Linked DNA regions of Notamacropus eugenii. Each later gene encodes a partner of the first gene's protein in a complex. Links are inferred from orthologs where the notes say so. Each region holds a gene or a part of one and is shown in the gene's direction. Other genes may lie near its edges.

Region 1 (16,567 bases):
GAGATCCAAAAAGAGAAACTCCTAGGAACATTGTGGCCAAATTCCAGAGTTCCCAGGTCAAGGAGAAAATACTGCATGCAGCTAGAAAGAAGCAATTCAAGTATTGTGGAAATACAATCAGAATAACACAAGATCTAGCACCCTCTACATTAAGGGATCGAAGGGCATGGAACAGTATATTCCAGAAGTCAAAGGAACTAGGACTAAAACCAAGAATCACCTACCCAGCAAAACTGAGTATAATACTTCAGGGGAAAAAATGGTCTTTCAATGAAATAGAGGATTTTCAAGTATTCTTGATGAAAAGACTAGAGCTGAAAAGAAAATTTGACTTTCAAACACAAGAATGAAGAGAACCATGAAAAGGTGAACAGCAAAGTGAAGTCATAAGGGACTTACTAAAGCTGAACTGTTTACATTCCTACATGGAAAGACAATATTTGTAACTCTTGAAACATTTCAGTATCTGGGTACTGGGTGGGATTACACCTGCACACACGCTCACATACATAGAGACAGAGTGCACAGAGTGAATTGAATAGGATGGGATCATATCTTAAAAAAAAATGAAATCAAGCAGTGAGAGAGAAATATATTGGGAAGAGAAAGGGAGAAACTGAATGGGGCAAATTATCTCTCATAAAAGAGGCAATCAAAAGACTCATTAGTGGAGGGATAAAGAGGGGAGGTGAGAGAAAAACATGAAGTCTACTCTCATCACATTCCACTAAAGAAAAGAATAAAGTGCACACTCATTTTGGTAGGAAAACCTATCTCACAATACAGGAAAGTGGGGGATAAGGGGACAAGCAGGGTGGGGGGGATGATAGAAGGGAGGGCATGAGGAGGAGAATGCAATTCGAGGTCGACACTCATGGGGAGGGATAGGATCAAAAGAGAATAGAAGTAATGGGGGACAGGATAGGATGGAGGGAAATATAGTTAGTCCTATACAACACAACTATTATGGAAGTCATTTGCAAAACTACACAGATATGGCCTATATTGAATTGCTTGCCTTCCAAAGGGAAGGGGTGGGGAGGGAGGGAGGAAGAGAAGTTGGAACTCAAAGTGTTAGGATCCACTGTCGAGTAATGTTCTTGCCACTAGGAAATAAGAAAAACAGGTAAAGGGGTATAGAAAGCTATCTGCCCCTACAGGACAAAAGAGAAGATGGAGACAAGGGCAGAGAGGGATGATAGAAGAGAGAGCAGATTGGTCATAGGGGCAATTAGAATGCTTGGTGTTTGGGGGGGGAGGGGATAAAAGGGGAGAAAATTTGTAACCCAAAATTTTGTGAAAATGAATGTTAAAAGTTAAATAAATAAATTTAAAAAAAAAAAAAAAAGATTGTGGGGTTTTTCCCACTTCTTTTTAACTCTCTATACTGCTCCTTTCCATAACTCAATAAATGTTGATGTAGGCAGTTTATCCCATTAAATATGACACAGAAAGATTTATAAAGGGTGTGATTTGGTCATAAAGGTTAATGTTTGACTTTCTCAAAATCATATCAGCTGGCAGGACATGGTGGTGCACATCTGTAATCCTGACTGCCGGGGGAGGTTGAAGGTGGTAGATCATTTGAATTTGGGAGTTCTGTGCTGGAGTGAGGCTAAAGTCGATTAGTAATTGCATTAAGTCTGGTGCCAAAATTGTTAGCCCCTGGGAGTGAAAGGAGTGTAGGCTGCCTAAGCATAAAGCTGCAAACCAGCACAGAGAGAGTGAGAAAAAAAGAGCAGGTTAAAGCTTGTAAGCCAAATAGTACTGGGATCAGGTCCATGAATGGTCACTGAACTTTCACCCTAGGCAAGATGGGGAAATCCAGTCTCAAAAAATTAAACAGAACTCTGTTTTTCTCTCTTCTTTCTATATATGTTTAATTTATATATGTAGATATGTAGATATCTATCTCAAAAATTAAACAAAAACAAATATATATGTATCTATCTCTCTATTCAGCTTTACTAATTCCTGATAGTTTTCCCTATCTTTCTTATAGAATCACAGATCAATGATCTATTCTGTCTTTCATTTTTAATTACATGAAACAGTATTAAAGTAACAAGTCAAAATGGATAGTCATATGAAATATTTTCTATCTTTTTGTAGAGTATAATCCTGAAGGACTTCACTGTAAAATGTAGTCTGGAAGTTCCCAAACTTCTTAGTTCATGTTACCTTTGATGTCTCAGTAATTTTTTTCACAGTACCCATAGACCAAAGTTCTAAGTAGTTAGGTCTAAACAACTTAGTAAGGATGCATGTGGTAACATCTTAGTACATTTTAAAAAAACACCCATAAATTAAAAGACAATTTTTCTTTCATTTTTGATAATTACAATTACTTACTGATGGGATGTGTGTGTTTATTGGGCACTGCACAACTTCTTGGCATCAGACTGGACATCACCACACACATTTCCTGTTTACTTTTTTTTTTTTCCAATCAAAGCAACTGCCAAAAACCCAGCTTCAAAAGAGAAAATTCAAAAAGTTACTGGCATATTTGAGAGTACAAATAAACAAAAACCTATCTCAAACACTTGAGAATGTTATCAAAAGGAAGGTAACATGATTTAATGTTTAAACTGTGAACTACCTCAAGATAGTAGAGCATTATTTGATATGTTCAAATATCACTGTGTCTCCCTTAAAAGTGTAAAGTATCCCGTGATACCCCTGAGACTTCACTATGGTGCTCTGGAATGCAGTGCAGCACAGTTTGGGATCTATGGGGACTTCAAAGAGAGAAAATAATAATTTTTAATAATAATAATAGTAATTTTTAAAAATTTCTTAACTCCCAAATATACAAACTTTCTTTGATTTTTTTCGTCTTTCCTTAGCCAGCGTATAAAAATATGACTGTAGCAATGAAGAGAATTGGGAAAGAGAAGAAAACTGTAAAGGCTCAAGCATAAACTAGGAAATAATAATAAAATATGCTTGAGAATAAACTTATGTACTGGTTATGGAAGGCTCCATCCAACACCGCTAGGACAAAAAGAGAAATAATACTAGGAAAGCAATATTCATGTTTGGTCCTGATTGACAAGCAAAAACTCAATTAAAGGTTGGGCAACCTTAGAAAGGCAAGTCTTTAATAACATAGGTACATTATGGGGCAGTATGGAGATTGTCTGTGACATAAGGGCAACTAGGTGGCACAGTGGATAGAGTGCTGGACCTGGAGTCAGGAAGACTCATCCTTCTGAGCTCAAATGCGACCTCAAACACTTCTAGCTGTGTGACTCTGGGCAAGTCATTTAATCCTCAGGTTCTTCATCTGTAAAATGAGTTGGAGAAGGAAATGGCTAACCACTCCAGTATCTTTGCCAAGCAAACCCCAAATGGTGTCACAAAACCCCCAGATGGGATCACAAATAATCAGAAAGGACTGAAAAAAACTGAACAAATGTGACATAAAGCCAAAAGCTCCATCCTTTTCAGTAGCTGTGAGTTCATATCAAACCTCTGGTCCTATTGTACAATAGATTTGAACTTAGTTTGGCTCATAACTAACATGAGTTACTGAGGTCATTCACATGGGAAATAATGTAACTCTGCCCCAGGGGGAGGCCAGGATTATGTGTTGGTCAGTGTGAACCAAAGATAATTCACACTAGCATATCCAGATCTGAATCTTAATACTGGAAGCCAACTGGGATAAATATGGATAAGCCTTCAGAGGCAAAAGTTAAGAAAACTAGATATGTTCTCTTTGTTGACATTCTCCAGAGGAAAAATATACCAAAAAACAATGCCCAGAAAAGTATGTTGAAAATACCCAATGGAAGTCTGAGATGTTCTAGGAACTCCTAAAGCCAGCAATCTCTACCTGGAGAGAGGAAGATTGGAAGGTTTGGATGAGGAAGCTATAGGGAGGTCAGAAACCTTGGATCATGAATGTGGGTCAGAAGCCGACAGGACTCAGACTTGGATGGCAGTACTCAGACAGGACATTCCATAGGTTTTTGGAGTCCACAGCACTCTGACCTAAGACACACCAAAAGTTCCTGAAGATTTAGAACTCTGAACCACTATGATCTTGGGGCACCAGAAATCCATGAACATTATAAGTGCAGAAATACCAGAAGTAGAAATCAGTGGCAGGAGATCAGGTAATTGACATCAGGATTAAGTATGGTCAACCATCCCCGCCAAGAATACAGATGACAGAACCTGGCTCTGCCACAAAACCCTAATTCAGAAACTGAGAGAGATGAGTAAACAGAAGAAAACATTAACCATAATACAAAAGTATTGTTGTCCCAGAAATACCCAAAAGTCTAATATAGAAGAAGAAACAAACTCCACGAGTAGAAGTAGAGACTTAGAGAAAAAAACTGCTCATCCACAAGGTCTACAAGGGTTCCTAGAAGAAATGAAGGAAGAGTTAAAAGATGAAATTATAAATGAAATAAGATCTTTGGAGGAAAGGCATATCAAGAGAATATGTGACTTAGAACAGTAAGTGGTAAACCCAACCCAAGCATAATAGGCCAGGCTTCACTTATGCTGGTTAGGACACTTGAGATGAAGACTGGAACAAAATGAAAGCTTTGTAGAATTCTGACAATTAACAAAAGGAGGTTTAATTAGTTATAGCAGAAGGAGGATATTAAAAGCAGGGCAGCCAATATAGATCACTGACTCAGTTGCATGTAGTTTTCTTGCCTCTCTTTGGGGTCCAGTTCCTGCTGATTTTTGTACTTAGCTCACCAGGAAGTTATACCAAGTCCAGGACTTTTGTCCCTAAACTAAACCTTAAAGATGATTCCAATATTTTTTAAGGAAAAATATGTGGAGGAGGCCCTGCAGAACACTTTTCCCACCCACCAAGTAACAGACTTCATGAAATTTAAATGAACCAAGTTGAAATTAATGACTATGAGAAATTAAGAAGTACTGGAACAAAATAAATAATTGAAAAGATAGTAGAGAATGTATGAAATGTAATAAGATCAAAACAGCTGATCTCAAAACTGGTCAAGTAAAGATAATTTAAGAATCATCAAATTTCCTAAAAGTCATGGCTTTCCATAACTGTGCTGATTCCCACTCCTGCACCCCCCAAAAAGCTTGGATACCAAGAAGTAATCAATAAGAACTGCACAGAATTTTTAGAACCAGAGACTAAAGTGAAAATAGAAAGTTAATAAATTATAGGGAGAAAAAGACAGTAAAATTATAATAGTTGGAGATCTCAATGACCCACTTTCAGACCTAAACCAAAAAGAAAAAAGATCTAAAAAAAAAGATAACTTCCAAAAACGTTAGAACCTGATAGAATTTTATAACAGTAAAGTATGATAGATGTCTAACAATTACTTAATGGGATTAAAAAGAAATTTACATCTTTCTCAACCGAGCTTAGCACCTTTACAAAAACATTGCATATATTAGACCACTTGTTTTTCACTTGTTTCAATCATGTCTGACTCTTTATGATCCCATTTGGAGTTTTCTTGGAAAAGATAATGGAATGATTTGCCATTTCCTTCTTGGTTTATAGATGAAGAATTGAGGCAAATAGGGTTATGTGATTTGCACAGGGCCACAAAGCTAGTAAATGTCTGAGGCCAGTTTTGAACTTAGAAAGCTGAATCTTCCTGACTCTAAGTTGGGCACTCTATCCACTGTGCCAGCCCACATTAGGGCACAGAAATGTCAATAGGCAATCACAACATCAGAAGACTTATGTGAAAACTAGGGTTATTGCAGGAGAAATGAACATGCATGTGAAACCCAAAGAGGTCATAGTCCTTGCAGAATTTTGCATATTTATGAGAGTACAACAAAGGGGAAGAGAAAACAGGAAGGGGCATGGTAAGGGAGGGGAAAGGTACAGTAAAAAGGGCAGGACCAAGGAAATGGTGAAAGTCCAATTCTTTTCCCTTGGGAACTGCTTGACTATGAAGACAGGAGGGTCTGCTTATCTCTGCAAAGGACCTCAGGTGCACAAGCATTTTTCCCAGGGTGATACATACTGTCTTGCTTCCCAAGGACACACAGGGAATCCAGTTTGGGTGCAAACAACAAATTATGTCACGAGGGTAGGGTTTCCTCCTTGACACATTCAGGTCTTCCTGCGCTCCAGATGTAGTGACTCGAAAAAATGGCAACTCAAAAAGCCAAGTTCAGGGGACCCCTTAACAGAAGCTTCATAAACAAATGCAGAAAAGCTGAATTATCAGACCTTTACTGTCTAAGATGAAATAAAAATTATAATCAACAAAAACTTGAGGGAAGGGGGGCTCAAAGAACAAATCAGAGAAACAATTGATAATGACATCAAAAAAAGTAACAATAATGAGATAATAACCCAAAACTTCTGGCATGCAGTCCTTAGGGGGAAAACAAGACTATAATCAACAGCAATAACAAAAGCAAGCTGTGTATAACAGAAATTTAAACGCAATCCTCTTTTACTGCCCTACTTTGTATACAGAAATGCTGCTTTTACTTGGTGTTTGCCAAGTAAAATTTCTCATGTAAAAAAAATAAAAATTATTTAGGGAGAAAAATTGTCTTTCAGACTTTTTGGTGTAGGAAAGCAGTCACCCATTACTACTCCATAAATATTCCAAGTGGTTTTGTATACTGAGGCAACCTTTATGGTAACTAAAGAGACCCTGAAAGGAGCTGTTCCAAGGATGTTGCTGAAGATTGGTTTCTCATTCCAGCTCATCCCATGGTGGCATCAATTACTCTGCATTCATCCTTTGTTGTGCAAGAAGACCATACCATTGGAGAAACGATGACATGACTTGCACTTGACTTCCTTTTGAGTAAAGGAGGGCTCTGCAAGGTCACCAGCCTCACTTTCTCCTCCTGAGCCATCTGGGTCCAGTGACCAGATATTCATCAGGACGGCTGGAGATGGCCGAGAATGCAGTCAAGGGTGAGGTAACACCCAGTCAGTGAACAGGCCTGTAGTCAGGGGATGGCCCCTTTAATAAGGCAAAGAAAAAATAACTACCTCAGGCTGGGAGGAAAACAGCAACAGTTCCCACTGATACCAGTCTTAAGTCAGGAGGGTCTAGAAAACAGCCCTTAAGTGGAGCTGGGGCAGTGGTCTCGTGTGTTACAATCTGTGGGCTTCAGAGCAGGTTTAAGGGGAGGGGGAAGGGAAGGGAAGGATCGAGCCAGTTAGCCCAAGTTCCCTGGGCATCCTCTGGCCACCCAAACGTACCTTCCTTTGGAGAGGAGAAGGGAGGGGAGGGGGAGACAGACGGGACAGGGGCACCTGAGTCCCCATGCAGCCTTCGCTCTAATGAAGGCGTTGTGGAGATCACCACTAACGCGAAATGCAGATAGAGATATTCCAGTCTGGTGTTACTAGGGGTCCATCCTCACCTTGCTACTCTTTTAGGAAGAGTCTGGTTCTAAGTTCCCAGCCCTGAATGGTCCTCTAGGAACTGAAGGGTCGTCTTGGTGAATGAATGGGACGTCATTATTGCATAATTTATTTAGAAATGGATGTGACCTACCCAGCAAAACTGAGTATAATACTGCAGGGGAAAAATTGGTCTTTCAATGAAATAGAGGATTTTCAAATTTTCTTGGTGAAAAGACCAGAGCTGAAAAGAAAATTTGACCTTCAAACACAAGAATGAAGAGAACCATGAAAAGGTGAACAGCAAAGAGAAGTCATAAGGGACTTACTAAAGCTGAACTGTTTACATTCCTACATGGAAAGACAATATTTGTAACTCTTGAAACATTTCAGTATCTGGGTACTGGGTGGGAGTACATACACACACATGCACACACGCACACATACATAGAGACAGAGTGCACAGAGTGATTTGAAGAGGATGGGATCATATCTTAAAAAAAAATGAAATCAAGAAGTGAGAGAGAAATATATTGGGAGGAGAAAGGGAGAAATTGAATGGGGCAAATTATCTCTCATAAAAGAGGCAAGCAAAAGACCTATTAGTGGAGGGATAAAGAGGGGAGGTAAGAGAAAAACATGAAGTTTACTCTCATCACACTCCACTAAAGGAAAGAATAAAATGCACACTCATTTTGGTAGGAAAACCTATCTCACAATACAGGAAAGTGGGAGATAAGGGGATAAGCAGGGTGGGGGGGATGATAGAAGGGAGGGCATGGGGAGGAGAGTGCAATTCGAGGTCGACACTCATGGGGAGGGACAGGATTAAAAGAGAATAGAAGTAATGGGGGGCAGGATAGGATGGAGGGAAATATAGTTAGTCCTATACAACACAACCATTATGGAAGTCATTTGCAAAACTACACAGATTTGGCCTATATTGAATTGCTTGCCTTCCAAAGGGAAGGGGTGGAGAGGGAGGGAGGTAAAGAAGTTGGAACTCAAAGTGTTAGGATCAACTGTAATGTTCTTACCACTAGGAAATAAGAAATACAGGTAAAGGGGTATAGAAAGCTATCCGGCCCTACAGGACAAAAGAGAAGACGGAGACAAGGGCAGAGAGGGAGGATAGAGGAGAGAGCAGATTGGTGATAGGGGCAATTAGAATGCTTGGTGTTTGGGGGGGGAGGGGATAAAAGGGGAGAAAATTTGTAACCCAAAATTTTGTGAAAATGAATGTTAAAAGTTAAATAAATAAATTTAATAAAAAAATAAATAAATAAATAAAAATAAAAAATAATAATAATAAAAAAAGCATACTGAAAAAAAAAAAAAGAAATGGATGTGGACCGATTTTGTGATCTCGAAGGCACTCTGGGTTTATTAATCTACCATAAGCCTCTATTGATCGACACTTCTCAAGCTCGCCCTAAACTGGGCTGACGTTTAGGACTGAACAAGAAACAAAAAACTGTAACTAGGCAACGCTCCAGGGAAGCTGCCTTAGAGCCAACGCCGGGTTACGCCCTGAAGGGAGGAACTTGGAGCGCGAGGCACACTGGGACTGGTAGTTTTTTACAGGTCTAAACTAGCAGCTGCAGAGCCAAGCGAGTGCTGAACTACAGTTCCCAGAAAACACAAAGCGTACTTGCATAGCACTCTGGGATTGTAGTCTTGCTCTCGGCAGGAGGAGTTCCAGAAAAAGTGTTAGGAGAAATCAGGGACAGTCTCCAGGACACTCAAGAGATTTCCAAGACACGGATAACGCGGCCTTGGTTTGAGAAGGATTAATTCGCCTCTTGTAGCTGTGGTAGTTACAAGAAAGCAGCAGCCGCGGTGGCGAAAGCACGCCATGACGTCATCACCCTGCCCTTTACCCTTCCCCGGGACACGTGGTGCCCTCCGAGGGGGTGGAGAAAGGGTTCGGCTGCCGCGTCCCGGGAGTCGCGTGACCCAAAGGCCGCGTGACGATTGGTTTTTAGCGGGGCGGAGTCTCGGAAGCCTCGGCTGCCCGCCTTCCCGGGGGGTGGGCGGAGCCATGGCGGTGGCCGTGGGAGGGCTGGACGTCTCTCTGCTGTGGCATTCGTGGAGTAAGTGTCTGTCGGCCGCCTTCCTCTCCCTCCTACCCCTCTGCCTTGAGGTGCTTGGCAGCTTCAGGCCGAGCTTCGCCTTTGCCCCCGAATCGGGCATTGGGAGGTGGGAGAGAGGGCGGCTCCGGGGGCCAATCCAGTCCGGACCCCAGGGCGGCCCGGAAGTGGGAGTCGGGAGGGTCCCGAGCCCCGGGAGGAGGTGGGCCCCCCATGGGGCTTCGTGGCAGTCCTTCTGAGCTCCATTGGGGCCTTTTTAAAGGGAAGCGTGGAGTCAGGGCCCCCTGGTAGAGATTCCTGAGCCTTTGAGAAGACTCACGGTTCCTGTACACTTTTCTTGCCCCCACTGTCCCCCCGACGGCGGTGCTCGGTGGAAGTAACTTCTCCTCGGGGCCTCCGCGCCCCCCCTGCCCGTGCCTGCCCAGCGCTTCTGCTGGGTCGTCTGCTGCTCAGGAAGTTAAAGATTGAAGGTCACGATGGTCCTGCGCTGAGATTTGTTAGACGGCGTGGAGCTCCTTACAAAATAGCTCAGAATTCCTCGCAGATGTGTTCTTTTTTTTATTTTCTGGGGATGGGGCGAGGAGGACTGTGGGGAGGCGTTTGTATCAGAACGTTTGGAGTTAGGGAATCCTCCCTCACACGCTCAGGACCTAGGGTACCCTGAGCAAGCCGTCTAACTTAAGAACGTCACGGTGCTGATTCACCATCCGCCTTAGAAATCTGGGTGGAAAGTGCTTTGCAAACCCTCGAGTGTTACGTAGACGTGATATCCCTGTTATCTGAAACAGGGACTGGTGTAGCTTTGAAAAGTGGGAACTACAGGAGGACGAGCAGGCCCTAACTTTCTAAACTTTAAATCTTTCCACGTTATATAGAAGAATGGTCAGATGAATGGGCCAGAACATTTAGAAATAAGGTTTGAAAATATAGTTGGAATTGTTGAAAGTTATTGTGTTCATCCTTCGTTTTTGAAGAAGACCATGCCATCAGAGAAATGATGACATGACTTGCACTCGACTTTGTTTTCAGTGAGGGAGGGCTGTGCAGGTCACCAGCCTCACTTCCTCTCCTGGGCTGTCTTGGATCCCGTGAACAGATACTCCTCAGGAAGACTGGAGATGGCCCAGGATGCAATTAGGAGACCTTGACCTAATTAGGCAGGCCTTTTCAGGTACTCACTTAGAGGGAGGTAATGCCCATTGAGTGAATAGGTTTGTTTAAGAAGTAGTCAGGGGATGGCTCTTGGCCCTTTTAATGAACAAAAGAAGAAAAAATAACTAAATCAACCTAGGAGTAAAAAGGAGCATGAGGCATTGATTAAATGAAATGATTATGTGTATGGTTGGCTTTCCATACTGCATCCATGGGCCCTGGGCCTCTAACCATCACATAATTTAGACTCCTTTTTTGTTTAATTAATGCACTACCAAGATTACAATCATGCAGAGGCAAGTTAGTGTGCCTGAGTGGAAGCCTTTCTAGAAAGGAATGGATGTCTTTTAAAGTTTAATATATAGAGGTACCACCTCACATCTTTTAGAAGTAATAAATGCTGGAGGGGATGAGGGAAAATAGATACCGTAATGAACTATTGGTGAACTAGTGCGCTGAGCAGACTATTCTGGAAAACAATTTGGAACTATGTTCAGAGTTATAAAACTGCATATCCTTTGACCCAACAATACCATTAGAAGTTCTGTATCCAAAAGAGATCAAAGAAAAATGGAAAGTAACTACATGTCCAGAAATATTTATAGCAGTTCTGTTTGTGGTAAAGCATTGGAAATCAAAGGGATTCTCATGAGTTGGGGAATGACTAAACAAGTTGTAGCATATGATTGTGTTGGAGTACTGTTGTGCTGTGGGAAATGATGAGGTGGAGGACGTTGGTAGTTTCAGAAAAACATGGCAAGAACTGTATGAAATGATGGAAAGTGAAATGAGAAGAATTGGCATATCATAGTGTATTGTAAGACCAGCGCTGTAATGGTAGTCAGCTCTGAAAGACATGGCTAGAATGGTAACAGTGATCCAAGATAATTCCAAAAGACTTGATGAAAAAATGTTATCCACCTACAGAGAGAGAACTGATGAACTCTGAGTGCAAATTAAAGTATAATTTTCTCCCTTTATTTTTCTTGTTTGAAATATGGCTCATATGGAAATATGTTTTGTGTGATTTCACATTGATGTCATATAAGAGTGAGAGGGAGGGTGAAGATTTAGAACCCCACATTTAGAAAGAATGAATGCTAAAACAGATGATAAATTTAAAATATATTTTTTAAAAAGTATAGAGAGATAAGGAAAAATATAGATAAAATACATTTAAAAATTATTATTTATATTAATGGACCTGGAATTGTTCACTTGTACCCAACTTTTGGTGACCCTATTTAAGTCTTGGCAAAGGTATTAACTAAGATATTGGAGTAGTTTGCCATTTCCTTCTCCAGTTCATTTTACAAATGCGGAACTGAGGCAAACAGAGTTAGGTGACTTGTCCAGGGTCACGCAACTAAGAACTATCTGAGGCTAGATTTCAACTCAGGAAGATGAGTTTTCCTGACTCCAGGTCAGGCAGTTTATCCACTACATCACCTATCTGTCCTGTCATGAATTGGCTTTATTGTACTATACATGGCACTTCATAATTTTTCGGTACTTATCTTTTATGTCTTAATAGCATTATACTTAGCTATGTTAACCACTAGTCATTATCTGCCACTTAGGTTTATTTAGTATATATAATTTTTAATTGCTAGGAAAAGGGTAAGTAAATAGTAAATACAGCACCATTTAGGGTATATACATATATGTAAAAGTATCTATTGGAATGCATTTTGCTTGAGTTTTGTTTTGTTTTTTTTTTATTTCCTTTACCAGGTAACAAATGGCTTCTGTCTCAGTGGACTGCTGTGAGGACTGATGACTAAACTTCATCTTAATATGGCATATAGAAGAGTAAATGGGCACGAACAGTCCATCACATCTAAACCCTCTCATATTGACTGTGGAATCCATCAACTGCATAGAACTGGAGCACATAATATCTGCATGGTGTCTGATTTTTTTTATCCAAATATGGGAGGAGTGGAAAGCCACATATACCAGCTATCTCAGTGTCTGATTGAAAGAGGACACAAAGTCATCATTGTCACCCATGCTTATGGAAATAGAAAAGGTATTCGATACCTTACCAGTGGCCTCAAAGTATATTATTTACCGCTAAAAGTCATGTACAATCAGTCTACAGCAACAACCCTCTTTCATAGTCTGCCTCTGCTCAGGTACATATTTGTTCGGGAGAGAGTCACCATAATCCATTCACATAGTTCTTTTTCTGCCATGGCCCATGATGCACTCTTCCACGCCAAGACAATGGGTCTACAGACAGTCTTCACAGACCATTCTCTTTTTGGATTTGCTGATGTCAGCTCGGTGCTTACAAACAAACTTCTAACTGTATCTCTTTGTGATACAAATCATATAATTTGTGTCTCTTATACTAGCAAGGAAAACACTGTTCTAAGAGCAGCACTGAATCCTGAAATAGTATCCGTCATCCCCAATGCTGTAGATCCTACTGACTTCACTCCAGACCCATTTAGAAGGGATGATAGTGTAATAACTATTGTTGTAATCAGCAGGCTTGTTTACAGAAAAGGTAATGAATGAAATTGTAAACTAAAACTGCCATTCACAGAGAAGTTTCTGTAATAGTCTATTTAATGTCAGTTAATTATTTTGCTTTTTAACTGTTTTCATATGTGCTTATATATTTTCATACTTTGGGTACATCTGTGATCTTACAAATTGAATATCTCCTCAATTGAGATAGATCGTAACTCTTGCATGTTTGATTCTTGTCCATCTCTGTCCATAAATCCTCCATAGGATTGCAGTTGATTAAATAGTAATGGGAGGATTAATAATTTATAAATCCAGTAGGCAAAGTTACATATTTATTTCAAATTGAGGGTGAATGTTTTAAAAAACATGTTTTGAAAATATTTTTTAAAAAATACTGTTTACATAGTTTAACTCAGAATTTGGTAATTATAACTATGCTAATACTACTTGGATAATATTTAAGATACCACTTCTCATTGCAGTATGTATTTTATAAGGTTAAAGTATGAGAAATGGGAGAAGCAAACCTTGCTGTTAGTGAAAATCATTGGTATTATTACTGTATACTTAAATTATGTGTTCTAAAATTGTAAGATTGGATTCTGAGAGACTCTCTCTTCAATATGAGTCATCAAAAGATAATCTCTGTGGGGAAATGCGTCTGTGTTCCTTAGCCTTAGATTCTTTTTTGTCTTAGATTAATCTGCTGATGATTTGAGAAGAAAAACTTGGTCAGGGTACAGTAAAAAGAAGCCATTTGTTTCTGGTCAGTGTCAATTATTGGTTCTGTACAAGGCCTCTTCATGGCCACTGTCCTGTATGCTAACAAGGTGAAGTTCAGTCGCACGTAGTGTAGAGCATCAAAGGGAATTGAGGGATATAGAAATAGGACATGGATGAAAACAGACCATGTGAGAGCAACTGTCGAGACCACCAAGAAAAGGTTGTACCTGTAAGTTCAGTGCAGGATTCAATGAAAGTTCAGTGAAAACCCAAGGAATATTTGGGGCTAGATGGTAAAGGCTTTTCTTCAAGTAGATGTTTTTTAAGGTTTCTTTCAGATTTGTGATTGTGGGTGTGAGATGAAGAGTAGAAATGAAGATTTCTAGATACTGTAAACTTACCAACTGAATTTTTTCTCAGTTGAAATAAAGCTAGAGAGGATCAGTTCCTCCCTAGCCCTAGATGAGTAGGAGGTGTACATTGTCCCTCTCTCTGAAACCAAGTTTTGATAGTAGCCCTAATGATACACAATCAGCTAGGTTTGATCTGAGGCATTGAAGCTCTTACAGCAAGGTTAAAAGATCAGGTAAGGTGAGCACGGAATTAGTGAATAATGCTCTTTACTTGACAGTAACATCTCACACATTTATTCTTTTTCATTCTTTTATTATGTTGACATACCTTAAGTAAGATGTGTGCTGTTTTTTCCCCCATCGTAGCACAATAGCTTTCTGATTCATTTATACTCTTTTGCCAGTTCTCTTTTGGAACAATAGGATGCTTGTGTGAGATGATTAGATAGAATTAGAAGTGCAATGAGCGTATTATCATAGAACAGAGAATATCTAACCGACCTACATAGCATAGCTAACAGGCCCTGATCCTCATTAAGATATTTTAACCAAATGTGAACTAACTAGCCACTGGAGTGAAGTCAGTCATCAGTGACTTACTGGTTAAACATTTATTGTGTGCTTACTTTATGCTGGACATTCCTATTGTTAGGAATGCAAAGAAAGGCAAAAGATCAGTCTCTACTTTCAGGGACCTTATAGTCTAACGGGAAAGATCATACATAAACAAGTATGTGTAGATGATATAGAGTGGATAAAATGGAGATGATCAGTAAATGGATTAGCATGAAGGGGGGTTAGGAATGGCTTCTTGTAAAAGCGCCTAGTGTTTGGAGATGGAATCTAGCCTGCCAGAAGAAACAGCAGGTGTCTAGATTGTCAAGTGTGTGGAACGAGGCTCGGAAAGTAGGAGAGAGACAGTCTGTGAAGGGCTTTGAAAGAGAAACAGGAGACTTTATATTTCATCCTGATAGCCATAGGTCTAGACTGAATAGACACGTAACATGGTTAGATCTATGCTTTAGAAACATCAAATTGACTGCTGAGTGGAGGTGAAAGTCTGTGATCTAATTAAAATTACCCTTTTCAATATAAGCAACCTAATGAAAATTAATGTCCGTATCTCCACTAGAGAAAGTATCTGCACAATTTTGTAAATGACTGAATGAATGAAAATGGATTTATTAAGCCTTTACCTAGGCAGTAGAATAGTACCAGTAGCTAAGAGGACTGTCCTCAGGAGCTTATATTCTGATGAGGGAGATAACAGGCGTGGTGGTTCAGGAGGAACACTTTGGATTTGAAAGTTAAGTAGATTATAAGTGGGGCCAGTTGATTTTTCCGTATTGACTATTTAGAAAAAATAAATTGCCTCAGTGAATGACAAGAGAAGCAATCCTGAGAGGCACTTTCTGTAGCATATGAAATTAGGTAGGCCAGGTCAAAGATGTATTATCTGACCTTCACATTTCTTGAATGCCTTCATAGTAATCAGAACCTCATGGCACTTTACCAGGTGTGAAGCCACACATCTTCTGATTCACATCCATTTATTTAGGGAAACTTGAATTGAGGGGGGAAACTGAGTCAATTCATTTAAAATGAATTTGAATATGTAATTTTTTCCATGTCCCATTTTGTGTGAGCATGATCATTAGAAATTTGATAAACTTAAAGATACAATATTTTTTTAAAGGTATATTTGGTCTTTAGTTAGATTGCTGAATATGTTTTTGTGAGTAGGACAAAATCTGCTTTCATTTATAGACTATTTTATTACCTTCCCTGGTCCATCTCACAAACCATATAAATCTTCATACTGTACAGTTCTCATGCATATCTTTCCATATATCTGTAGAGAAACTTCTGTAACTTGGTAGATGAAGACTTTGATATGGTTCTTTTAATACTTCATGAATACTAGTATAACTTTGAGGCTCTTCATTCTTGCTACATGGCTGGCTGATCTGCTTTCCCACCTGTGCTTATACCATGATGGCTTTTTGAATACCGCTTATTTCAGGCAAATCAACATTGATTGTCATTGGTAACGTTGCTACCTATTCAAATCTGCCACGTGCCTTTTCTCCTGATTTTTGTGTCACCTGCTAACTTTTGATTGTCCTGAAAATTATTTGTAGCATAATAATCTAATACAGATCTGCAGAACATACAGCCTGTGGGCCACTTGTGGCCCACCAAAGGATTTTGGGTAGCCCACAAAAAAATATAGAAAATGTAAAACTGGCCTGTACAACATACCACCCACGAGTCACTTTGACTAGGGATGAGGGTGACAAAGTCAAAGATGAAATAATCTTGGCCTTCTGGGAACTTGTAAATATTGCTTATTGTTCTTTGGCTATGAATATTGGCTTTTAGATAGCTTCTCATAACATTTGTATTGGAAATAGAAATAAAAATTT
Region 2 (16,072 bases), about 46 Mb from region 1:
TAATTATTATAATAATCCTCAATCTTATTTTTTTTTATGACTGAGGAACTGTAAGTTTCAAATATTTGGAACTATAGGTTAGAAATCAACCTTTAAGAGATTAACAGTTTGTATCTAATGACTGAAGTAGAAGAATATGAAATAAGCAGGGACAGGGAACCTTTGGCCTCAAGGTCACATGTGGCTTTCTAGGTCCTTGGATGTGGCCTTTTGACTGAGTTCAAATTTTACGGAACAAAAATTCCCCCTTTTCCTAAGGGGATTTGTTCTGTGAAGTTTGGATTCAGTCAAAGCACTGCACCTGAGGACCTAGAGGGCCCCATGGGGCCTTGAGGCCACAGGCGCCCCACCCCTGAGTCCAAATACAATCCTTCTGCCATACTTGGCACTGGTGATGTCTTTTATTGGTTACGAATGCAGCTTTGGTCTTCTTTTAAGAAATATGTGAATAAACTGTCAAGGCCAGATCACAAAAATGATTAAAATGACAGAATAGCTAAGGAGGTAGAATTGAATAAATCACCACTGCATTCAAGGAAGGGAAGGATTAAGAAAAAACAGGATGCTAAACAGTTGATAGAGTTTTTAAATGGCATTAAGGTACAATAAGGATTTTAACCATAAAAGAAGAAATACAAGACTGTGACAGTTACTAAGTAACATATGAATGAGTTACATAATCTCTGTCCTTAATTCTATGTAGATATTTAAATATATTTTGTTTAATGTGTTTAAATTTAAATGCGTAAATTTATTTAACTACTGAAATGGAGCAGATATCTAACTGTACCTGGAAATAAGTAAATGAAACACATTATCTCAAGCTTTTTTTCTACTTTTAGGAATCATTTTTCAGGAAAACATAATATTCTCTTAAAAGACAAATAAAGCAACAAAACCACATAAATAACAAGACTTGTTTACCTGATGTCTATACAAGGATGTAATTGAGATACTACAGGATTCTGTTCACGTTGAAAAAGAAGTGGCCAGAAGATGTATATTTTAATGACATCACAGTAATCTCGAAGAATATGAAGTGGCTTACTACACCAGATTTTGCAGATATCCAGTTCTTTATTTAAAAAAAAAAATTAAATTAATATTGCTAGGCGTTTTCAGTAGAAAAAAGCATGGGTAATGAGAACATAAAGCATAGATTAGAAAATGACAAGGAAATCAATATGCTAGAAGTACTAATGGTTGTTTAAGATTTTTTGGCAAGTTATTTTTAAAAAATTCTGAAATTCAAAGTAATTACAGGAGCAAAATTTTTAAAGAAACATAACACCACACATGAACATGAATAGATTTTGTTAATTCTTCTATTATACCATCAGTGAAAAAATAAAGGTTCAAGTGCTAAATTGCTCACCTAGATTTGCCTTAACTTGTGAAAATTTTCTAGGATATGCACCACCCTGAAAAAGAAAACATGTTTTGTTGCTCTTTGGTAAAAACATAGTAGCATATTCAATTGGACTGGTAAGCTATAAATATAATATATGTAAATAAATAAATACAAATATAAAAAGCTACACAAAACAGTATAACATGTGCTGTTTTAATCTGTAAACTTCTGGGTAAGGTCACTTCTTTCAATCTACCAGTCACCAAGTTCTTTTCCAGTAGCTATCATGCTCCCTTCTACAATTTTAAATTACCCAATTTTGGTTAAAAATATAACTATGACCTGTCACGTAAATGAGTTAAACTCAAATTCATTTGTCTCTATTCTGATTACATATATATCTTAATCTTTAATCTATCACATTATTGTCTTCTGAGAAATAGAAATGCAACAAAGTTAGCTACAGCCAACATAGTACATTTCTTGTCCTACTTAAAAATTATTATTGCATTATTATGGAATTTTTTATTCTGAACTTAAAACACCAAAAAATAGGGATTTGTCTTCTCCTAGCTCAGCTCATGATACCCAGGATTCATGGCAGTTGTCTCTTTAACCATGTCTTATGGTAGAATAACATGTCAATACATTCATATACCACAATTTGTTAAGATATTCCCCAATTGCTGGGTACCCCATCAGATTCTAATTCTTTTTTTTTTTTTAATCAGGAAGTCTGTTTTGCTCGCAATTCTTTCTTCTCTTTTACTCTCACTTTTTTTTCCTTTCTTTCAGAGCCAATCCACCTCCAAGATCTGTTTTCTTACTTTATTTCCTCAGTACCTTATGAAGAAATTAAGGCACTTTCTTATGAAGAAACAGACACTTGCTTCTTCTCCCATCAATATGTTAGTACTATGTCATCATACAACCCTTTGCAACTGCTCAAATAAATTTACTTTCTAGGTTTCACTGGACATAAATTTATATGTCAAAGTTCCTACTCAGCTCTGTTTTTTTCATCAGAAATGCTTGGAACTAAGTCTTCTAGTCAAGGGATCAGCAAATTATCAAAACCTTTTTGTATGTCTAGTGAGCTAAGAATAGTTTTTTACACTTTTAAACAGTTTTACTATAACATAAACATGCTCATTTAATTACATATTGTCTATGAATGCCATTGAATTATAAAACACCATAGTCAAGTAGTGGTAACAGAGATCCTATATGGCACTTTCATTACATCTCACAGGGACTCAGATCACAACAAACTGTTGTGACGTAGTTATAATTTGACATTGCTTCAAGTGTCACCTGTATTACCATATTTCAACATTTTTTCATTACCATTGTATGCCTATTATGTCAAAACAGAAAAAAAGAAAAATGTTTTATTATAATTTTTTGAGCTCAGGGTTGAGACTGAAGTTTTTCTGAACAAGAAACCATTGTTATCAAACACTGAATGGCTGTGGAAATTAATTTTTGCTGCAGACTTGACAATGTTTCTTAATGAATTCGACCTAAAATTTCAAGGCAAAAGAGTGCTTATATACAAAACTTATAATCAAGTCAATTTAATAACAATATTTTTAAATCACAAGTAATGTTAAGTTACTTCATATACTTTCCACACTGTTTAAAATTAAGAGACAAGATTTCCATTCTAATACAAATTTGCAGTGAATGTATTTCCTGAGCTCAAACTACAGTTCCATCATTGGAACTTGATACAAATACAAAAGAAATTTCAATATGTTCATTTAAATGTGCAAATGAAGAACTTTTACCAACCTTCAATTGGAAGTGATTAATATGCAACGTAATGACTTGCTAAAAGGCAACTATCAAGAATCTAACAGGATTACATAAATGTCTTCCAAGAGCCAAATATGTTAAACAGTATATATTCATAGGCTGATATCAGTATTTGGCAGTACCTATCTGTGTGAAAAGCCATTTTCAAAGATGAAATACATAAAATACCATTACAGATCAGCAATAACAAATAAACATCTGCAACTGATTCTGATGACAGGGAGTAATAGCTTTGAATTCCAATTATGTGAAATATCATCTCCCCTAGAAAAGAATTTCACTCTTCTCACTAGTTGATCTGTATTACAAAATAAACTAACTGTACATGTTATTATATTTTGAATTTCATCCATTAAAACTGTTTGTAAATTTGTTTTCTCATTATATAAATATCTACAGAATACTCTCAATTTGGCTATTGGCCCACAAAGTCAAAAATATTTACTATCTGGTCCTTTATAGAAAAAGTTTGTCAACTCTGATCTAGTCCACTGAAGCTTCATTTTTTTCCTCTATAGAATTATGCTGAGTTATGCCAGCTAAGTCATTTGTGGTTCTAAGTCTGATTTGGGGGCATCTCTAGAACAGGAACTTTTTTAATATTAATTTTACATTAGCTTCTTTGGGTTATCACTCTAGCTTTGTGCTAGGACCAGGGTTCTCCCCCCGCTGTACTCTTGGGTAGGCTCATTGACCTTCCTTGGTTTTATCCTTGTTCCTGAGTTAGTGTTAAATATCTATTTTCCAAGACTGGGACTGTCCCTCTTTGTCCCAGATCTTTGATGTTCAGACACTGGATCTTCAAGGCCCTCTACTGCTCCTCAGAACAGAATGTTATGAATCTTGGAGCCCACCTGGGGACTTTCTTGGGTGACCTCACTGCTTTCCCTGCTTCCAGACCAAGAGTCAAGCGGACTACATGTGACTGTGGCCCGGGTCTGGTTATTCTGGGAAGCTACTAACTTGTGGATGAGTTTTTTGGCTTTGTTAGTATCCTTTATTCCTATTGCCCTTGGGCTTCTGGCTGAATTTTTGTGCAGTTCTGGGATGAAAGAAATCACTCTAGTTTCTCATTGGATTTGATTATTTGGGGGTCTGATGTAAATTTTAGGCTTTTATTAGACAAGGTCAAGCATCCATCTTAGCTGGAATCCATTATTAATTTTTTTTTTAACAAAGATCTCTTTTATATTCACTGCTCCTCTACTGAACTCTTATAGAAGTGGCGCAGGGCTTTCACATGCTAACACATATAAGGCTAACACATCACAGACTCTACCTTCCCACCAAATAAAAGACATCTGCAGTCTGACATTTAGCTTAAGTTTGGAGAGCTTAAAACCAGGTTTTTAGCTAAAAAATCACCTTTCAGAGATTGTCCAAGAGAAATCAAAAAGCTGCAATATGAATCAGAGAATGAAGTATCAACCACAAAGAGAAAAAAAATTATAGATCCTATAAGTAGTGAAGTAAGCCTTCAGAGATCCAAATTCCACACTGAAAAGTGTTAAATAAGAACCTCTGGAAGTTCTTATGCTCCTGCAATAGTTCTGTAAATCCTGCAGCAACAGAATGCAAGTCCACAATAAGAGATCGCTGGAATCATTGCTTGAATATAGCTATCAAAAAAGTCAAGTACCAATCAAACACACAGTAATTTATCTCAGGGCTTAGATACAAGGGTAAAAAATACAAAGATAAAAATGAAGTAGTCCATACCATCAAATAACTTACAATTCTATCAAGGGAGATTGCAACAAAGTATATATGGGATGGGCCCCACCACAGCTGGGGAGGATCAGGAAAAACAAGCTAGGAAGTAGAACATGTCACTTGTCCTTTCTTCCTCTCACTCTTTTCTCCTATTGGGAATTTCTTATTTTGATCATTTCATCTGTTCTCATCAGAGAGGATCAATGATTTTAATAACTGGCTGATAAAAGGAAAAATGTGATTTCTTATAATGATTTGCCATATGAACCAAACTTCTCTTCTACATAAAGCTACTTTTAATTTCTACCCTCAACATACACCCTCACCAATAATGAGGTGAAGTAGACAAAATGTAGAAATTAGAACCAAGAAGACTTGGATTCCAATCTCACCATAGGCATTTAATAGCCTTGTGACCCTGGACATGTTAAACTTTTCTCAGCCCTGATTTCCTTATCTATAAAATGGCACTATAAAATGGCAATAATAACAGCACCTACCTGCAAAGGTTGTTGTGAGGACCAAACGAAACAATATAGGTTCAGTGTAAAGGACTATATAAATCCTACCTATTATTATCACCATCATCCTCCTCCCTTTTTAGTTTCCATCATCTCACACACTTGTTCTTTTTGGGCAGCTCCTTCCCTTTTTCAGCTTTCTCTTCAAAAGCACAGATGGCATCACAAATCACTCTGAATGACTTACACATTGGCTTTGAATATGAACTTTAAAATGCATTTGATTTTTTAAAAAAACTCACCTGTTCACAGCAAAGTTTAGTAATGCGAACATAACTGCTGCCAATTAAATCTGCCTCAGAGATGGAATTCTCCATTGCGCATGATCCTAAAGGCCAATAAAAACAAACTCCAAATCAGTAAACAATACAAATTATGAAAGTGAATCTTATCTTTGTCACAATCAAAACAACAATAGAAACAGCCACTCATTTTTACAGTTCCTGAAGTGGGTGGAGGGGAGTTTCAGTGAAAAAAAAACACTGGCTCTGGAGGCAGAAGATCCATGCTCAAATCTCAGCTCTGGGCTTCCAGTGAAACGAAAATATGAGAAATTGTAAAGGAAACCAGATTTTCCATATACACTCCAGTTAAGATCCAAAGAGCACCAGACTAAGAGAAATGCAGATCAAAATAACCTTCATCCTAATTCTTATCAAACTGGCAAAGATGACAAAGGACAGTCCATGCTGGAGGGACTGCAGAAACACCAAAATGCGTTGTTGGTGGAGCTGTGAACGGGTACTATTCTAGAAAGCTATTGAAAGTATCTGAAGAAAGTGATAAAAAAAGTTCACACCCTGGAATCCAGACACTTCACACCGGGCACCGCCCCCCGCCCCCCCCCCCCCCCCCCCCCCCCCCGATAAAGTCAAAGACGGAAAGAAGGGATCCATACAGGTCAACCACACAAATGTAATGGAAAACCACTTGGTTGTAGGATAAAGCGAAAACGTAAAGAAGCTCGCTCTGACGCAGAACACGACAGGAGCTCGATCAGGACCAGGAACTACCCGGGGCAGTCCTGCCCACCAAACAACTCCTCCGGGCACGTCCACAGGTGTGGAAGGGGGTCAGCTCGGCGCCTTAATCCCTTTTCCTTCCTAGGACACGGTGGTGGCAACGGCTCTCTGGAGGGGCAGGAGGGGCCCGGGAGGAGCCCAGGTGACGGACACCCAGGACGCAGTCACAGACCCGAGGGCCGGGGCCCAGGCGGGCCGGAGCCGGGCTGCAGGAGCGGGAGCCGCGGAGCCCAGCCCTCCCATCCCGCGGCCGGCCCCGGGGGGCTCCCGAGAGGGGCCCGGACGCGCCGGGAAAGGCCCTGCCGGGTCTCTCAGTATTCACCTGGGGGGAGCGGAGGTGGACGGGGAAGGGAGGGAGGCGAGCGGGGCCGGGGTGGAAATGGCAGCCGGGCTGGCCGCAGGCTTATTTCCTGTCAGCAGACGACCGGCCGGGGCACACAATAACAAGTGGCTGGGGAACACGGCGCTGGCAGCCTCCGATGGGGGGCGCGGATGACGGGCACGACGACGGAAAGAGCAGGTAGAAAGAACGCGCGTGCCACACACAAAGACATGCCGGACACACACACGCAGGGCACCTATCCACGCACGAAGGGTGTGTGCAGACACGCAAGTCAGACAACACTGGCTGCGGGAAGGCCACGGGCTGGCAGAGGCGAGAGACGCGCAGATGTACACGCATCCTTACACGGACACACGGACACACAGACACACGGACACACACTCACCGGACACGCCACGAGCGAGCTTTAATCCGCGTCCACGTCCAGAAGCAGGTCTCAGTCCGGAGGCAACCGTCAGGACCACGTCACTGACCTCCAGAGCGGGGAGGGAGAGCCGCGGACGGAGGAAGGAGGCCGGCCGTCACGTGAGCAGCGCGCAGGCGCGCCTGGCCCCGCCCCAGCGCCCGCTCTTCCTTCTCCCCCCTTCCTCCCCGCCCCCTCTGCCGCAATCCGCCCCGCCCCAGAATCCCGGCGCCCGGAGCAGAAAAGCCCCCCTCCCTCTCCTCCCCGGCCTCCTGGGTGGCACCTGCGCACACAGGTTTGGCCTAGAGCTTCCGAAGCCGGCAGGCAGGAAAACTGGTGCGTCACAGTGCAGAGAAAAGGGGCCCCCTGCTGTGATCTCGCCTCTCCCCCTCCGCGGCGGCGCCCCCGAACCCCCCCAGCCCCAACCCTGGAAGGAAAGGCAGGGTCCCCGGGAGAAAATGAAACGTGCCCTGGGCCCCCGTGTCCCTGCAGGTGCCCCAAAGAGGCGCAACCCCGGGGGAGCCCGGCTCCAGCCGCGGAGCCTCGCCCGAGATCCCCGCCGTACGTGGTCTGCGACGGGAGGACGAGCGGGGCGAGCCGAGGCGGTCCGGGGGAGGGGAAGGGCCGAGGGCGCACCCACGCTCTGCACGGGGTCAGTGGCGAGTGACCCGCTGTCTGGTGCTTCCCGCCCTCAGGTTCCCCAACGCTCCGGAGGCTATGGTGGAGAATTCCCCGTCCCCGCTGCCGGAGAGGGCCATCTACGGCTTCGTCCTGTTCCTGAGCTCCCAGTGCGGGTTCAGTAAGTACGGTTCCGACGGAGCGCCGGGTCCAGACCGGCCGGGAGGCTCCTCGGGGTGATACCGCGAGCTGGTGACACCCCGGGGTAGGGTCCAGCCTGCTGCACCTTGGTGTCACCTTAGGGTCTGTGGGGCACGGAGAGGGACGTGGAGATTGTGCCGTGCGGTGCTACCTGCGTGAGCCGCAGCCCCTGACCTCCGGGCCCCTTGTGTGGAGTGGGCTTGGGAACGTCTCATTTAGGGCATTCCCCTTCCCTGCGCATACCCGCCGCACCTAGCTGAGGCACTCACAGGAAGGCCAACGTGGATGGCCGGAGGATGCCCAGCCAACGTGGGGTGAACAGGCCCCTTCCTCCCTCCCTCCCTCCTCCTCCTCCCTCCCTCCCTCCTCCTCCCTCCCTCCCTCCTCCTCCCTCCCTCCCTCCTCCTCCCTCCCTCCCTCCCTCCTCCCTCCCTCCCTCCTCCTCCCTCCCTCCCTCCCTCCTCCCTCCCTCCCTCCTCCTCCCTCCCTCCCTCCTCCTCCTCCCTCCTCCTCCCTCCCTCCTCCTCCCTCCCTCCCTCCCTCCTCCCTCCCTCCCTCCTCCTCCCTCCCTCCCTCCCTCCCTCCTCCTCCCTCCCTCCCTCCCTCCTTCTCCCTTCCTCCCTCCCTCCTTCCTCCCTCCTTCCTCCTTCCTCCCTCCTCCCTCCCTCCCTCCCTCCCCCTCCCTTCCTCCTCCCTCCCTCCTCCTCCCTCCCTCCTCCCTCCCTCCTCCTCCTCCCTCCCTCCTCCTCCTCCCTCCCTCCTCCTCCTCCCTCCCTCCCTCCTCCTCCTCCCTCTCTCCCTCCTCCCTCCCTCCCTCCTCCTCCTCCCTCCCTCCCTCCTCCTCCCTCCCTCTCTCTCCCTCCTCCCTCCCTCTCTCCCTCCTCCCTCCCTCCCTCCCTCCCTTCCTCCCGTCCCTCCCCCCTCCCTTCCTCCCTCCCTCCCTCCTCCTCCCTCCCTCCCTCCCTCCTCCCTCCCTCCCTCCTCCTCCTCCCTCCTCCCTCCTCCTCCCTCCCTCCCTCCCTCCTCCCTCCCTCCCTCCTCCTCCTCCCTCCCTCCCTCCTCCTCCCTCCCTCTCTCCCTCCTCCCTCCCTCTCTCCCTCCTCCCTCCCTCCCTCCCTCCCTTCCTCCGTCCCTTCCTCCCTCCCTCCTTCCTCCTCCCTCCTTCCTCCCTCCCTCCTTCCTCCCCCCCTCCCCTCCCTCCCTTCCTCCCTTCCTCCCTTCCTCTCTTCCTTCCTCTCTTCCTTCCTCCCTCCCTCCCTTCCTTCCTTCCTCCTCCCTTCCTCCCTTCCTCCCTTCCTCTCTTCCTCCTTCCCTCCCTCCCTTCCTTCCTTCCTTTCTTCCTTCCTTTCTCTTTCTCTCTCCCTCTCTCCCTCCCTCTCTCCCCTCTCTCCCTCTCTCCCTCTCTCTGTCTCACTGTGTCTCTGTGTCTCTGTCTCTCTGTCTCTCTCTCTCTGTCTCTATCTCTGTCTCTGTGTCTCTGTCTCTGTGTGTGTGTGTCTCTCTCTCTCTGTCTCTCTGTCTCTGACTCTGTGTCTCTCTCTCCCTCTCTCTCCCTCTCTCTGTGTCTCTGTCTCTGTGTCTCTCTCTGTCTCTGTCTCTGTGTGTGTGTGTCTCTCTCTCTCTGTCTCTGTCTCTCTGTCTCTCTCTCTGTCTCTGACTCTGTCTCTCTCTCTCTCTCTCTCTCTCTCTGTCTCTCTCTCTGTCTCTGTCTCTGTCTCTCTCTCTCTCCTGGACCCTCCTGGCTTCAGAGTGATGATCAATAGTCATTGTTGCTCTGTGCAGCCCTCGCTCAAAACAAGTCATGTCATCATTTCTCTGATGACATGCTCTTTGAAAACGAAGGACGAACACAAACAAAACCTACCATGAGACATTTTGCATTACTGCTTAGAGGATTGATCCTGCCTCTCATGCATATTAGTTGAGGAAGCGGGTAAGTCACCTGCCTTCAGATTACCCCAGCAGCTTGCTGAGATCAACTACTGCTGATTTACTGATTTGCGGTAGTGCATTATGGCTAATTTCTAAACAGGGAGTTCCACACAGTGATGAAATCACATCTGGACCTGATAATATTTACAAAAACTAAATTGCAGACCTTTTCAGAAACATGTCAGTTCTGCAAAGTGAACCATAACTCTTTATAGACAGTGTTTGAAATCTGGGGTTATGGAGATCTCTAGTCTACAATCGAAAGTTTGCAATTTGAGCAGTTGCACAGCATTGACTAGTTGCTGTCCACAGTGGGATCTGGGCCTCACTTGTGAGATTGCTTAAATGTCCCATTCCAGAGGAATACAATTCTTTTGACCTTTTAGGCCATTATCATTTTGGTTGACCATCTCACCGGAATACTGTTAGAAGTAGAATGCTTTAAGTCCTTCTGAAGTTTTAGAGTTATAAGATAAAGCTGCTTAGGGAATCTAATTAATTTGGTGAGTTCTTCATTTAACTTAATGAGATGATAGGGAGTAGAGAAATTGAAAGGGCACTTTCCATTTAGAATCCACAGGGATCTTGCAGATAGGAAATTGGGAGCTTTGGATGACTGAAGTTCATGGGGATGAAATTTTATTAGAAAACCAAAGATTTTCTTTCATCAGAAAACAAGAGTAAGATAATAGACCAATGCATGTTCTTGATCTTCAGCACTGTTCTTCTTCTTTCAGAGTGTAGGAAGGGGAATGGAAGGAATTTCTCCCTTTTTCCACCTCTCCTTTCCACCCTCAACCCACCAGAGTAGTTGATGGCAACTTGCAGCTGAAGCACATAGCTTAGATAGATCTTTTTGCACACAGATACAGAAGGTAGTTCATGAACCCCAACTAGCAGTGTTTCTTTTGCAGTCCTTTGTATTTTATTTTAAGTATTTAAAAACATTTATCTCAGAAGTGGTCCAGAGGCTTTATCAGGTTGCCAAAAGGGACACAAAACAGGTTAGGAACCCTAGTTCTAGGAAAAAAGTTTTCCTGGTAAAGAATTATTCATGGAAAAGGGAAGAACATTCATCTTCTTTCTTTTCCTTTTACATTTGTTTGTTTTAATTTTTGCTTTCCTAATTGTTACCCACAATGCAACTTTCAAAGCTGGTGTTCCCCAAGATCATAGAATCATAGATGTAGGCCATCTATTTCATCACCTTCATTTTAGAGATGAAATGAGCCTGAGAGAGGTTAAGTGACTTTCCCAAGATCACACAGGTAATAAGCACCAGGATGTGAACCTAGTACTTTGACTCCAGGCAACTGTTGTTGTCTTATTTGTCCTTTGTTTTCAAAGAGGACCATGACATCAGGGAAATGTTGACATGACTTACATTTGACTTTGACTTCAGTGATGGAGGGCTGTGCAACGTCACCAGCCTCATTTTCTCCTCCAGAGCCATCTGGGTCCAGTGGCCAGATATTCATCAGGACAACTGGAGATGGCCCAGAATGCAATGGTTAAGGCCTTTTCAGGTTCTCACCTTGAATGAGGTAATGCCCATTAGGTGAATAGGCCTCTTTAAGAAATGAATCAAGGGATGGCCCCTTTAATTAGAAAGAAAAAAAATCAAGCTGTGAGAGGAAGACCCTTAGGATTGCTGTTCCAAAGAGAAACAGTTGCCATTGACATTGATGCTGAACCAGGAAGGCCCAATACAGCTGTTATGTGGAGGTTGGGTGGGGACCTATTGTGGTCCAATCTGTGAACTTCAGAGTGACCCTCACTCAAATCAAAGTCAACTGTAAGTCATGTCATCATTTCCCTGATGTCATGGTCCTCTTTGAAAGCGAAGGACAAACACAACCTGTGAGTAGACTGAGCTGCCTAAATGGGGACCCAGCCAATTGGGCAACTCAGCTCGTCCTCATCCTCTCCCTCTCCTTCTCCCCTCCAAAGGAAGGTAAATTTTGATGGCCAGAAGCTGCCCAGCTAACTTGGGGTTTACTGGCCAGATTTCTCCCCTGTACTAGCTAGTCTTTTCTTCTCTTTATCTTGAATCCATGGTGAACCATTTCAACACTACACTCCCCTCCTCTCTTGAATCCCTACCCTCTGTGTCATATCACTGATTACTCCCAGCCAAGCTTTAGCCTTGGACCACTCCCGTCATTTGTAGCCTTTGCTGCTACACGTGTTGCCCAACAAAGCTGGAGAAAATTGGACAACCATTCTGATTAGGTCCCCTAGAAATCTGTTACACAACCTCAGTTGTGACTTACTGCTGCTAGCCGGTCCTTCTATGCCTACATTATGAACTCAGTATCCCACTCTCCAGAGCAGTTCTTTAAACCTTTTCATGTCTTCTCAAGCCTCCCATGGTTCCCCTCCCTCCACCTTCTCATATAAGAATCTTGCCTCATTTTCAGAAAAATTGAAGCCATTTGCTATGGCTTCACTCCTCTTCATTTCATATCTCTCATACGCATTCTGGCACTATCTTTTCCTTCACTCTTGACTCACATGATGAAATAACCTTACTCTTTACCAAAGCTAACTGCTCTATTTGCTCAAGTAATCCCTTCTTATCTCCTCCAACAGATTTCTCCTGACATCATCACTGAATCACTTATTTTCAGTCTTTTCCTGTCTACTATCTAAACACACCTATGTCTCCCCCATATTGAAAAAAACTCTCACTTGATCCTTTCCTATCTTCTGCCCTTTGTAGCCTGCTGGTGAGTTAGCCTCCCTCAAGTATCCTCCTAGTTCAGACTGTCTTCCATTCAGCCATCAAAGTGATTTTCCTAAAGCACAGGTCCAACAAATCACCCTCTCCCCACTCCATAAACTCCAGTGGCTCTGGATCAAATACAGAATTCTCTGTTGGTCTTTCAAAGCCCTTTATAACCTACTCCCTCCCCTTCCTCCAGTTTTCCTACACCTAGTCCCAGCCACATGCTCTTCCATGCAGTTCTGTTGGGCTGTTCCCCAAACAAGACACTCCGTCTCTGCTCCAGGCATTTCCTCTGGTTGTCCCTCATGCCTGGAATTCTCTCCCTCCTCGTCTTCTCCTGCTGGCTTCCCCAGATGCCTTTTAAGCCCCAGCTAGAGTAAAAGCCCCTCCCAATTCCAGTGCCTTCCTTCTCTTAGTTACTTCCTGTTCACCTGTGTGTAGCTTATATGTGTATATTTATTGGTTTGCTGTCTCTCTTTAGACTGTGAACTCCTTGAGGTCAGGGACTGTCTTTCATCTCTCTCTTTATCCCCAGTTTCCAGCACGGTGCCTAATACATACTGGCTGCTCAATAAATGTTTGTTGATTGACTGCAGCACAGGTTCTCCATATCCCTAATGGAAAATCAGTCTGGTAGCAAGATGTGAAAGTTGCCTTGTGCTGGCACAGATAGCAGCCTGACTTCAGGGGAAATCAGAGCAGAAAATGGCATGGGGCCAGAGGAAGGGCTGGATCCTTCTCTTACCTGAGGCTGTAGATCAGACTGTTGTAGCAGAAGTTGGAGTCTCTTCATGAAGGGAGATGTCACTTTGAGGCAGATGGTAGTCACACTCTCTAACCTCTTGCTGCCTTCCCTCAGGAGAAATGACCAGCTGGAGATGGAGGACCGTCTCACTATACTATAGTGGCTTCCTTAGGAAAGCCCCCTTCTGTGGCTGAAAAGTTAGATTCTAGTATCACATTAGTATAAGGGTAAGAAAAACATATTAGGAAAGGCTGCCAGAGTAATGGTTATTGTTTTAGGGGACTACAGTGACTTCTTTCCCCTGACCCTATTTCTTTTTTTTTTTTTTTTAAGATAATTCTATAGCTCTCAACTTCTCTACCACCAAAGTTACATTTTTTTCCTATGGTGCACATAGCCTGTATCTGGTGATCTCTTCCATTCTTAAAACAGAAGGAATATCTCTTTCTTCTGATGGTGATGTTCATTTATCAGACCAGCTTATATTCCTTTCCCTTGCCTCATTACTTTTCCAGGCAGGACAGATTTGTCCTTGGTTCTGTCTTTGTCTATAGTTCCTGAGTGTTCTTTCAGCTGAGTTGGCAGCCAAAGCATCTTCACTCATTTAGTCCCACGGTACCATGAATAGGTCTAATCAGCCACAGTCCGACACACTGAAACTTCACTTTATCATGGTGATGTCCTTTTGATCCTCTTCGGGAATGAAGGACAACAACCAACCAACCAACCAACCATGAATAGGTAAATAGCATCAAGATAATTGGAGTTGAGTATTTGTCCTATACTTTTTTTGACTCATTAGTTAGGTCAATATTAGTTTCAGCATTTTGACAGACTTGATAAACCCTTTTAGGTCAGGCTAGCCCTTGACCTTATCCTTCGGCTACTTGGAGCATTCTAATCAAGTCTCTGCTTCTCACCATTAGTCTAGATAAGTGGTTGTTCACCTGGATAAGAACTGGAATGTCAATTCCCGTCTTTGCTGCTGCCAGCAACTTCAGTCAGTGCTTCTGCTACCATTTGTCCAAGACTAATGTCTGCATTCTCAAATCAGTCCGGGGTTTATGCAATCACATTATCTCTCACAACCATTCCCTTTTCTCCCCTAATGTGGCCACCACTCTATTTTAAGCCCTTGAGGATTACAGTAGCACCTCTCCCCCTACACAGCTGCCAAACTGATTTTACAAAAGTAGTCTGACCATCTCACTCTTCTACTGAGTAAACTGGAATGGCACCTCTGTTTCCTCTAGGAAATAAGTTGTGTCTCTTTAGTGTTTAAAGTCCTTCACAGCCCAACCTTTTCCATGCTTATTACACATTATACATTCCAAACTGATCTTCTTTCTGCTTCTCCCATGATGCTCTGTCTCCTTTACACTTTTGCACCCACCGTCCTCTAGGCCTTGAAGGCTCTTGTACTTTCCCATGGCCTCTTAGAATCTTTTGTTTCCTTCAAAACTCTGCCCAAGAGACACTTCTCAATTAACTCTTTCCTGATCCTTCTAGCTGCTGATTTCTTACTCCACAAAACATTTACCTGCATTTGTCATTTACATATTTTATGTTTGCTTATTTATTTACATATTATCTCCCCCAGAAGAATGTAAGCTACTCCAAAACAGGGACTGTGTCCTTTTTGTCTTTTTTCTCTTTTGTCAGTCCACTGCCTGGCTCATTGTAGAAGCTTAATGTTTTTTGATTGATTGACCATATGGCCATTTGTGACTTAACCTCTCAGTATCCTAGGCAACTCTGTAAGATTATAAATTACAGATAAATTGTTGACCTGTATCAGTGGAAGGAGTTCCCACGGGGGAATTTGCTTTGCATCACAGGTCCTAACCGATAAAATATCTAGAAGTTGCCCATAGACAGGTAAGTAGTGAAATATATAAGGAGCATATGCCTGTAAAGAAGCTCACTTTCCACAGACAGAAACAATGACATCTATTTCAGAGTTATCTAAATACTAATCAGAGGAGCTTAAAGGGAAATCAGTGCAACTGTTGGCAGTTTCACTGTTTAGTAAAACTACTTAAACCCTATCTAAAGTTGTTAATTGGCTCTGCAAAGAAAAAAAGTTGCAAAAAACATTACAGTGGGCAGTTAGAAATAGTATTTCATGTATACATATATATGTGTATATATATATGTAATTAATAAAATTGTGATCGTTGCCTGTGTTAGGGCAACCTTCTCAAATATTTAATGTGTTTTTCATTCAATTCGGCCGATAGTAATAATATTTATACATATTTTTAAACTATACATTTGTAGTAGAAAAAACATTCTGGACAAACTTTACACAATAACTGAGAATAGAAAAGAATCCAGAAGACAATGCCAGTATCTTAGCAGTATAAAGAAATTTAAAACATCTTAAATAATTTCCAGATTTGTTACTGCCTTAAACATTTTATTTGGTCCATTCAGCCCCTGTTGTTATACTAATAAATGTTGGATCTATTGAGTTCTGAAAAATTACAGCAATTGTGTTTTCCATTTTTATTAAATAGAATAAATTTTGTTATTTTCCCATTTAGACCATATCTAAGTTATTTCAGGCATTAGACTTCCATTTACCTGGTTATACTAAATTCAAATCTTTCCAGTGCTGTTTTACAGATTTTGCTGTTTTTTCCCTCCTTTATCACTGGAAGGCTGAACATGAGGT

Evidence for each region.
Region 2: PIGA (region 1) and PIGP share a complex: the UniProt entries of both Homo sapiens proteins name them as parts of the glycosylphosphatidylinositol-N-acetylglucosaminyltransferase (GPI-GnT) complex. The link is inferred for Notamacropus eugenii from reciprocal best matches to the Homo sapiens genes PIGA and PIGP.

What each region holds. Positions count from the first base shown.
Region 1 is NC_092876.1:374,801,515-374,818,081, forward strand, and holds the start of PIGA (phosphatidylinositol N-acetylglucosaminyltransferase subunit A), read left to right. Parts: upstream 1-9,007; 5' UTR 9,008-9,435; exon of another isoform or gene 9,436-10,603; intron 10,604-12,318; 5' UTR 12,319-12,360; coding exon 12,361-13,099; intron 13,100-16,567. UniProt on the Homo sapiens protein: Catalytic subunit of the glycosylphosphatidylinositol-N-acetylglucosaminyltransferase (GPI-GnT) complex that catalyzes the transfer of N-acetylglucosamine from UDP-N-acetylglucosamine to phosphatidylinositol and participates in the first step of GPI biosynthesis.
Region 2 is NC_092876.1:420,364,504-420,380,575, reverse strand, and holds the start of PIGP (phosphatidylinositol N-acetylglucosaminyltransferase subunit P), read left to right. Parts: upstream 1-7,204; 5' UTR 7,205-7,293; intron 7,294-7,339; exon of another isoform or gene 7,340-7,507; intron 7,508-7,655; exon of another isoform or gene 7,656-7,866; 5' UTR 7,867-7,888; coding exon 7,889-7,970; intron 7,971-16,072. Other genes in the region: E3 ubiquitin-protein ligase TTC3, read right to left, coding at 925-1,075, 1,376-1,421, 5,646-5,720. UniProt on the Homo sapiens protein: Part of the glycosylphosphatidylinositol-N-acetylglucosaminyltransferase (GPI-GnT) complex that catalyzes the transfer of N-acetylglucosamine from UDP-N-acetylglucosamine to phosphatidylinositol and participates in the first step of GPI biosynthesis.